Linked DNA regions of Cricetulus griseus. The protein of the gene in region 2 interacts with the protein of the main gene of each other region in a pairwise test. Links are inferred from orthologs where the notes say so. Each region holds a gene or a part of one and is shown on either strand. Other genes may lie near its edges.

Region 1 (3,753 bases), on a different chromosome or scaffold from region 2:
GGGGTAGCTCCAGGAATTGACCCCAGTCGTTAGGCTTTATAGTTGAGCATCTTCAAGGACCGATTTTGTTTTGTTTTGTTTGAGAATTTTTCCTGTCTTGAATTTCCTTAGCATTTATGTATCAAATCATGTTGCATTTTCTTTTCGATATGGGCTTGAATTTACTAGAATCAACTTAAGGCAAGCAGGGCAATGACAGGCATTTCTGTAATTTTTGCACTTGGGAGGTATCAGGAATTCAAGGTCACTCCCCAACTGCTTAGTGAGTTCGTGGTCAGCCTAGGATACAGGAGACCCAGTCTCACCAAACTTAAGAAAATCCACTCCAGCCAAGAACCGTGACTCTTGAATCTCCTACAGATGCAGAGAGTCAACACATGCGCATGGACACCAAAACCCGGGGCGCGTGCGCACCGGACACTTTTTGCCTTCGGGCTCCCCCCCACCCCTGCCCGCACTTTGGAGTGTGCGCACCAAGAAAGACAAAGGTGGTGAAAGTGACCAAGCAGTCATTCCGGCGCATGCCCATCCCTAAATTGCTCCGGCTCTGTGGGGCTCACTTGGTGGAGGCGGAAGTCCAATCCGACGGAGCGGGCGCGGCCCCTCCCTTCTCGTGATTGGTTTGCTCACAGTGTTGTGGGGCGGGGAAAGGAAGGGACAGGGATAGTGGAAGGCTGGGGAGCTGGAGATAGAGCGTTCATCTGGTTCTGCGCAAGCGCAGAGGAGCGACCAGGAGGGGGCGTGAGAGAGTAGAAGAGAATGTGGAAGCCCTGACGCGCTGGCGAGCCGGAGCTGGGTCGCTAGCCTGGACGCCTGCGCCTTGGCCCTCGGGCTCCGCGCGCGGCGGGCGGGTGCCCTGTGCGCCTGCGCAGTAGGCGGCGGCGGCGGCGGCAGGGGAGGTGGAGGCCGTGGAGCGGCAGCGGCAGCAGCGGGTCCCGGACTGAGGCAGCAGCGGGGGGCGCCGGCGGGCGGAAGCTGAGGTGACGAAGGCGACGGCGGCGGCCGTTTCTCTCACGGTGGCGGAGACCAAGGCAGTGGCGGACGGGGAGCGGCCCGGCCCCGGCCCCCTGCTCGTCGGCTGTAGCAGGGCCGCCGTGGGGCCGGCCCGACTCCCGCCCCCCGCGGCTCCCCCTCCAGCTCCTCCTCCTGGGAGACGCCGGGGGCCCGGCCCGGCCCGCACTCAGAGCTCTGCCTCCGCTGCTGCCGCGGCAGTCGGAGGTGGTGGCGGCGCCATGGGCGGCCTGGCCTCTGGGGGGGATGTGGAGCCGGGACTGCCCGTCGAGGTGCGGGGCTCCAACGGGGCCTTCTACAAGGTGAGACGGTGCGTCGACCCGGGACACCCTCCTTAGCCCCCTCCCCCAGCCGGAGCAGGGAAGAGTGGAGCGGGCTCGAGTTTCTGGAGCTCGGTCCTGACCCTTAGAACCTCGACCCACGCTCCCACTCGACACCCTCTCGGGGAGACCGTGGGAGTTAACCCTCGTGCTTTTTTCTTTTTGAGCCCGCTGTTACACCTGCTTTCATCCTCAGCTGAAAGCATGAACATCAGGTCATTACTGCGCGTGGATGGGCGCTCCTGGTCCCTCCGGAGAAACCCCTTTACTCAGCTTCTAATTGACTTTTCTTGTTTCTTAGTGGAGGAGCTACTTCAGCTCCTAATCACATCCTTTCCACGGCACAAGCACATGGGAGAGTCTTTCTTTTCCTACATAACCCTCTTGGGAAGGCCCACTGTCCCATATTAGGTCTTCGGTCTTCAGGGAGGTTTCTGCCTACTGGCTCTAAACCATTTACTCAACTTTCATCTTATATTGTAGGTCTCCATCTAAGAAGAAATGATCAAAACCCACGTGTGTTATTTAGCATCTTTGGCCTCAGGCTTTATCAGCCATAAAAGTGGTCTTGTTGGACAAGTCTGTCACCCCACCACACCTTTATCCCGAAACCAGCTACCCAGAGATGGATTCGTGTTTCTCTCTTAGACTACAGCTACATTTAGGTCATTCCTGTGTTTTCTTAAGTTTAGGCTTCCTTAAAAGGGTGTCTCAGCAAGCTTCTTTTCTGTCCTTATTCTAACAGATTTCTACTTGTTGACAGTCTTTTCTGGAAAGAGAAAGTATCTTTCAGAATTGCTAATTTCAGCATTTCTTTGCCCAAGATTTGATTCCTTTGAAGTGTTTTGGGGGGTGGGGTTGTAACATGTCCTAGCCCAGGCTAAACTCCTACCTCAGCCTTTCAAATTCTGTGACTATATTACAGCCTCGATCTATCAGACCAGACCGGCCTTTTGTTTTTTCCTTCTTTCTATTCATACATCCATCCGACTCTCTGCATCTGGGCTCCCCCTCCCCTCCAGTTTAGATTAAGAGTGACTCTTCTTGCTCCACAACTGTTTTCCTTTATCTGGTAGGTGGAATTCTGAACCTCTTTTGAGGTTTTTTGTTTTTGTTTTTTGTACCCCAAGACAGGGTTTCTCTGTGTAACCTTGGCTGTCCTGTGCTCTGTAGACCAGGCTGGCCTCAAGCTCATAGCCTCTGCCCCCAGCACCGCCCAACTGTTGACTTTTATGTGTGGAATTGTCCTAGAAACTTTTGATCCACCCCTTACTCTTTACTCTGAAGAGGGATTTTCATAGCATCAGGTAAGTTAGAGGAGCTGCCTCACTTGAGTTCTCAGGTCCATTCCCCTTCCCCAGGAGACCTTTCTGCTTTCTCATGCCCTTGGAAACTACTTTCTCTGACTACTATGAAATTGTATCTTTTGTAGCTGAAGAAGGACTTGTGCTTGCCCTTGTAGATGGTTTCTGCCCCCACTTGACTGATAAGTTGGATTTTACTCACTATAAATGCCATGCCAGTTTTGCCTGCCTTTTCTGATTAAGTTCTTTACCCTTTATTCAGTGCATATGGGTGTACATATCTATTAGTCTCAGCGTATCCTCTCAATTAAATCTTGGGCTGTTCATCTTGATATATATATTTAATTTTATGTACAATGGTGTATTGCTTGCATGTATGTCTGTGTGAGGGTGTCAGATCCCCTGGAACTGCAGTTACAGACAGTTGTGAGCTGTCATGTGGGTGCTGGGAATTGAATCAGGGTCTTCTGGAAGAGCAGCCAGTGCTCTTACTGTGGAGCCATCTCTCCAGCCCTTAACTTGATGTTTCTGTATTCCTGTGTAATCTTCACTGATGTCCATCTATTCTTTGTATAGCTGAAGAAAGCTCCCAGCTGATCTCTGACACTATCACTTTCCTTGCTAACTCTTGGTACTTTTTCTTCTGACTGGAAGAATATCTTGATAACATTTGTTTTCTGTGGCAAAAGTCTCAAATTCCTATCAGGTTCTGTAGGACACACACACACACTTTTTTTTTTTTTTTTTTTTTGCGACCGGGTTTCTCTGTGTAGCCCTGGCTTTCCTGGAACTCATTGTGTAGATGTAGACTGGGCTGGCCTACACTCACTGGGATGGTTCAGCTTCTGTTGACTAGGGGATTAAAAGCATCCACAACCACGCCCAATTTGGAAAATGATTGTTAAATTGAGTATGAGATCAAGATAAGATACTTTTGTTCTAGAAAGCATGGGAGCCTTGCACAGCTGAGAAGGATTAGTGCTGAGTTCAAATTAACTGTATGAAATGGTTGGGAAGGGTGTGTTTTCTGTTACATATGTGAGTATCCAGTATCAAACAGATAGTCTCTGGATTTTTTTCATTTTTACCTGTGGGCCATAGCAGTGACAGATTTGAGT
Region 2 (2,541 bases):
TGCATATTGTGCTTGTGTATAAAGACAAACTCTTATTTGTGTCAATTATATGTGTATATTGTGTAAGTGTATGCAAATTTATGAGAAGGGTGTTGTGTATCCTGCTCTATTGTTCTCTACCCTATTCCTTTGAGACAGGATCTCTCACTGAACCTAAACTTGGGCTGGTTTCTGGCAAATGCCTGTAATTCTCCTAATTGTACCTCTCAGAGCAGGGTTTACAAACACAGACTATGCCATTACATTTTTTGTGAGTCTTAGGGATTTGAACTAGGGTTCTCACACTTGCACTACAAATGCTCTTACCCATGGACTGAGCCAATTCCCATCCCAATAAAAAAATGTTTAAACACACACCAATTATGCTATATAATTTTATTACTTCCAAAACATTCAAATTCCACTTGGGCTGATTTCCAGTGTCTGTAATGACACTTTATATTCTTCCGTATTGGATCTGGACTCAGGTTTGGTAAAGATTTGCTCTATTAATTTTTCAACATTCCAATCTTAAACATCACATTATCTTCACAATGCTCGCACTTCCAAAAAAAAAAAAAAAAATCAAAAACTCATTACTGTCTCACTCTTTTGTAGAAAGTCCAAGCTCTCTAGCCAGTCTACCCCCTTTCACACAAAAACTCAAAGGTGCTCTAACTTGACTTCACCATCTCAGCTGCATCTTTCTACTTAAACTTGCTCCTTCCCCATCACCATCTCTTTCTAGCTCACCCAGGAGACCTGGAGATCTTTCCCATTAGTTTAGTGGTACCCTCCCTCAGACCCCAGTGGTTGGGCTTTGCATCTCAGCTCCTATCCAGCCCTACCACCCTTCTGGCTTGCCAACACGCATGCGCAGTGTCAAGTCCGCCCCGCCCGGCCGCTGCTGCGGAAGGCACAGCTCTCAGTAAAGCGCACTTCCTCTGCTGGTGTCCACTGAGGGAGTGCTGGTTCCAAGAGCTCCAAGTCGCAGCGGTCCTGCTCTGATCAGAAGGCGCAGACATGTCGGAACAAAGTAAGGACTTGAGCGACCCTAACTTTGCACCTGATGCCGCCAACTCCGAGGTGCAGGAGAGCTCTGAGATTCCGGTGGGGGTCCCTCCTCCCACATCTCCAGCCGCGATCGTCGCAGAGGCACCAGAAGCTCCTGAAGGCCCTATGGCAGCCCGGCAGGCCTCGCCGCCGCCTCCAGAAAGGTTAGAAGATATTGACCCTAAGATTCTGGAGCAGGCCATAGAGGAGGGCCGCGCCCACAATCCCGATAGCCCGGTCCGTCAGCTGCCAACACCACCCGCCCCGGCCCAGGTGGTGCAGAAGGCGCACGAGCTCATGTGGTACGTGTTGGTCAAGGACCAGAAGAGGATGGTCCTCTGGTTCCCAGACATGGTGAAAGATGTCATGGGCAGCTACAAGAAATGGTGCAGAAGCATCCTCCGGCGCACCAGCCTCATCCTTGCCAGAGTTTTTGGGCTGCACCTGAGGCTGACCAATATCCACACGATGGAGTTCGCCCTGGTCAAAGCCCTCAGCCCAGCAGAACTGGACAGAGTGGCGCTGAACAACCGTATGCCCATGACAGGCCTCCTGCTCATGATCCTGAGCCTCATCTACGTGAAGGGCCGCGGGGCCAGAGAGGGAGCCGTCTGGAATGTGCTGCACATCCTGGGACTGAGGCCCTGGAAGAAGCACTCCACCTTCGGAGACGTGAGGAAGATTATCACCGAGGAGTTCGTCCAGCAGAATTACCTGAAGTACCAGCTTGTTCCCCACAGCGATCCTCCTGAGTACGAGTTCTTCTGGGGGTCCAGAGCCAACCGTGAAATCACCAAGATGCAGATTATGGAGTTCCTGGCCAGGGTCTTTAAGAAAGATCCCCAGGCTTGGCCCTCCCGCTACCGAGAGGCTCTGGAGCAGGCCAGAGCTCTGCGGGAGGCTAATCTTGCTGCCCACTGCCCCCGCAGCAGTGTCTCTGGTGATTAGGAAGGTCCCCAGCATGTTGATAATTTCTGACCCATACTTGGGCTGTATAAGGGTGGGGTTGGGTCATTAGAGTATTCCACATTCACAGTGCAGTATTTCATGTGTAACCTTTAAGTTTTCCTTACAGTGCTTTTGTACCTTTCAATGCAATATATTCATTTGTGTTCGCTTGGAGCGTGTTAAGGATTTATGCATGTGCGTTTACAAGTAAGCAAGTGGATGCTTTCACTTCTGTGCTTTTTTGTACAAGAGATGTGCTGTGCTGAACCTGTGAAATCCATTGAGATGTTGTGTATCTATTCTTTGTATGAAAGTGATGATCTGTATCAACATAAAAGCCCAGGAGAGTTAGGAGGTGAGCAAAGCAGGCCTGACCAGAGAAAGGTCAAGGGCCCTCTTATATGAACTCAACTGGCACAGGAAGCATCCCTGTGGAATGGACTGATTTGAACTGGAATGTTCTCAGTGTAGGCACTTAGCACACCCTACCAAACATGTATACAACCCCACCATAAATAAACTTTGAAGTGAGCATTAAAGATCCTTGTGGAATAATTTCTT
Region 3 (3,753 bases), on a different chromosome or scaffold from region 2:
ACACACACACCCTGCAACTCATAAAATATAACAGTCTAGAATCTGAACTGACTGGAGCAGTGGGTAGCATGAAGGCATGCACAGCGCCTGGTGTACCCTGTGCTTAGCATCAAGGAGCAGCAAGCTCTGTGGCACAGAAGAAACACCTTGGATCCATCACATTTTGACTCTGAGTTATCGTCATGCATGTTCAGAAACCTTTCACTGGGCCAGTGAGACGGCTCAGAGGGAAAATGCTTGCTGGGCCTGAATTCCATCTCCTCTTGCCACCACGGCAGGACCCATCCTTGTAGGCTGTACTTTGACTTTCACACATAAACCACTGCATGGCATTCACACATGCATGCACGCACCCAGGCTCACTTGCACCCTTCCAGACACAGTATTTTTAAAAGTGTTTTGTGATCTCCACATACGTGAAATTAAGACTCACAGTTTAGCGGGGTAGTGGTGGGCATAAGTCATGAGAATCAATGTTAGCAATAGACTTGTGCCACTCTGAAGCTAAGCTTAGGGAAACCCTGACAGTCCTGAGGTTGTCTCACTGAGGAAGATGACCAGCTGATAGATCAGGACTGTGATAGTTGCCACTGATTGCAATGCCTAAAGAGACAAGTCCCTGGCCATGTCAGTGAGGGATTTTGTAGATTAAGTCAACTGAGGTGGGAAGACCCATCATGAACATGGTAGTATCATTCCTTAGACTGGAGTCAACACTGAATAAAAAGGAAAAAGTGAGCTGAGCACCAACCGTCATTGCTCTCTAGGTGTGATGTGATCAACTCTCTCAAGCTCCTATCAACGACTCCCTCTTCATCTTGGATAAACCCTTCCTTTATTAAGATGTCTTGTCAGGTACAGCCAACACAGCATCACACAACACCACAGCCCCGCCTTGCTCAGCCTTTCTTACAACACCCAGGACCACTAATCCAGAGGTAGGACCACTAATCCAGAGGCGGCACCACCCACAGGGAGCTTGGCCGTCCCACATCAATCAAGAAAATGAGCCGGGGGTTTGTTGGTGGCACACGCCTTTAATCCCAGCACTCGGGAGGCAGAGGCAGGAGGATCTCTGTGAGTTCGAGACCAGCCTGGTCTACAAGAGCTAGTTCCAGGACAGCCTCCAAAGCCACAGAGAAACCTTGCCTTGAAAAAAAAAAAAAAAAAAAAAAAAAGAAAAGAAAAATGAACCACAGGCTAGTATGATAGGAGCATTTTCTCAATTGAGGTTCCCTCTTCCCAAATGACTCTGACTTGTGTCAAGTAAACACAAAACACACAGACACTAACTGCAATTTTTCTGGTAACTACTTAACATAAGCCACCTGGGCCCTGGGTACTTGGCTCAACCCTTATATCGAATTCGAAACGAACTCTTCATAAAGGCATCAGGTACCCGCCCTAATGAGAAGCAACAAGGTATTAGATGAAATGCTTATCACATAACCAAACTACATCTGTTTCTTAATTTACAAAAACCAACTGAAACTTGTATAAGCTGAGGCTCTTCTATCCAAAATGCTTGGTCTGGGGAGTGTCTTGAATGTTTTGTACTTTAGAGTATTTTCATGTACATGTTTTGGGGATGGCACAAAAGTGTAAACACAGAACTCATCACTTCATATACGCTTATATACATATCCTGAAAAAAAATTGTACAATATCTCCGAGATAACTTTGTATTTCAATATAACAAAATTTCATGCTGTGAAATTTCCACTCGTCGCACCATGCCGGCAACTCAAAAAGTTTGGGATTCTGAAGCATTTCGAAATTTGGATTTTTACATTCGGGATGCTCACAAGCTGCACTTCCCAAGCATGCAAATCCACAGGACTAAACCCCAGTAACCGAGTTTCGACGTTGCTATTCAACCCAACTACTATTTTTTACTTCAAAATAGCAGTCACAGGGCAGCTTTCTGGTTCTCCATTTCGCCTAACAAGCCAGCCACTACTGCCGTCTTTCTGCTCCTAAAGGGGTCTCGCTTTAGCCTCTCTCGGCGGTCTGGGTTTCCGCTCCGGATGAGGAATGCGACCAGCCGGGGTTCCCGCAATCCCGCCTCGCTCGCCCTCTGCAAGCCGCCGCTGCAGCTGCTCTCGCCGCTCCAGCCCCCCGCGGCCTTCGGGCCCCTGCGTGTTATCGCCGCTGTACACAGCCCGCCGCGGCTCGGCGCGACCCCGCACCTCCCTCCGAGCCCCCGGCAGCGCCCAGGGCCCCGCGACGTCGCGCACTTACCTGCAGGTGACCTGCTTGGTGCTCATGGCGGCGCGGCGGCGGCGGCGGGGCTACGGGCTGGAGTCGCGCTGAAATCTTACAGCTGCCAGCGCCACGGCCCAGCCCGGCCCCGCCCCGCCCCGCCCCGCCCCGCGCAAGCAGTCGCGTCACTCTCGCGCGCACCACCCCCGCGCGTGCGTCACCTATAGGGTGCCGGTCGGAAACTTAACCGCCGTCATAATTGGTTCCGCCGGGGCGTGTTGCCGGAAGGTCCTTACGCCCTAGCGCTCCGGGTCTCACGTTTCCAAGACTACGGGGCGGAGCTTGTCTGGCATCCTAGGCTTGTCAATCGTCTGCAGGGCCGTTACTTCCTAGAGGTTGGCTCCATCTCCCCAAGACAGTCTTTTTCAAAAGTAATTTTACTTTGTTTGTTTGTTTGTTTTCGTTTTCTCGAGACAGGGTTTCTCTGTGTAGCCTATCCTGGCACTCGCTCTGGAGACCAGGTTGGCCTCGAACTCACAGAGATCCGCCTGCCTCTGCCTCCCGAGTGCTGGGATTAAAGGCGTGCGCCACCAACGCCCAGCTACTTTTTTTTTTTTTAATTTTATGATACGGGTATTTTTGCCTGCATGTGTGGTTGTGCATTCTGTGCGTGCAGTGCCTGCGCAGGCCAGAAGAGGGAGTGAGATCTTCTGGAACTGGAGTTACAGACAGCTGTTTGCTGCCACGTGGACGCCAGGAATTGAACTCCATCCCCTGCAAAAGCAGCCAGTGCTCCTAACCACTAGAGCATCCTCTAATAAGAATGTTTTTATTTCTTTGATAATTTCAGATATGTGTACAACGTATCTTGATCATATCCAACCTAAATAGCTCCTCTCACCCTCTGGTCTTTTTATGTAAATACACAGGCATACATAACTGGAAACAGAAACTGAAGCAGTATGCACACACACACAAACACTCTCTCTCTGTGTTCTCTCTCTCTCTCTCTCTCTCTCTCTCTCTCTCTCTCTCTCTCTCTCTCTCTCTCTCTCTCCCACACACACACACACACAATTTTGATCCTTGCAAACTATAGTTGTATTTTCAGCTTTGTAAAACTGTCTCCCAGTTTTCTGCATTGAATTGGCATTGTATAGAAATTAACAGCATGTTGGTCAAGAAACATTGTGCTTATTTGTTCCATTTGTATAGAGGTAATGCAATGTATTAAACATGTAAGGTCTGCTGAGTGCTCAGCTCTAAGTAGGACATCTATGTCAACACCCAAGAAAGGGTAGCAAGAACGTAAAAGCTGGAGGATGGGAGGAGGGCTAGGACATGCAGTCTTCTGGACATGTTAACTCACAGCAGCTGTGGCCACCTGCACTAGACTGGGCCTATGGCCAGATGTGGTGGTCCATGCCTTTCATTCTAATTCTTTAGTCAGGAGGCAGAGATAGTTAGATCTCTATGAGTTTGAGGTCAGCCTGGTGTACACAGACTACTCAAGACTATATAGTGGGACTTGGTGTGGGGCAAGGCGGGGGG

The links.
Region 1: the proteins of Ndn (region 2) and Fxr2 interact in a two-hybrid assay, tested with the Homo sapiens proteins (2 studies listed by BioGRID and IntAct). The link is inferred for Cricetulus griseus from reciprocal best matches to the Homo sapiens genes NDN and FXR2.
Region 3: the proteins of Ndn (region 2) and Mkrn2 interact in a two-hybrid assay, tested with the Homo sapiens proteins (2 studies listed by BioGRID and IntAct). The link is inferred for Cricetulus griseus from reciprocal best matches to the Homo sapiens genes NDN and MKRN2.

What each region holds. Positions count from the first base shown.
Region 1 is NC_048600.1:83,475,799-83,479,551, forward strand, and holds the start of Fxr2 (fragile X mental retardation syndrome-related protein 2), read left to right. Parts: upstream 1-876; 5' UTR 877-1,232; coding exon 1,233-1,313; intron 1,314-3,753. UniProt on the Homo sapiens protein: mRNA-binding protein that acts as a regulator of mRNAs translation and/or stability, and which is required for adult hippocampal neurogenesis. Specifically binds to AU-rich elements (AREs) in the 3'-UTR of target mRNAs.
Region 2 is NC_048596.1:135,134,328-135,136,868, reverse strand, and holds Ndn (necdin), read left to right. Parts: upstream 1-1,002; coding exon 1,003-1,980; downstream 1,981-2,541. UniProt on the Homo sapiens protein: Growth suppressor that facilitates the entry of the cell into cell cycle arrest.
Region 3 is NC_048601.1:29,241,961-29,245,713, forward strand, and holds the start of Mkrn2 (probable E3 ubiquitin-protein ligase makorin-2), read right to left. Parts: upstream 2,380-3,753; 5' UTR 2,268-2,379; coding exon 2,242-2,267; intron 1-2,241. UniProt on the Homo sapiens protein: E3 ubiquitin ligase catalyzing the covalent attachment of ubiquitin moieties onto substrate proteins.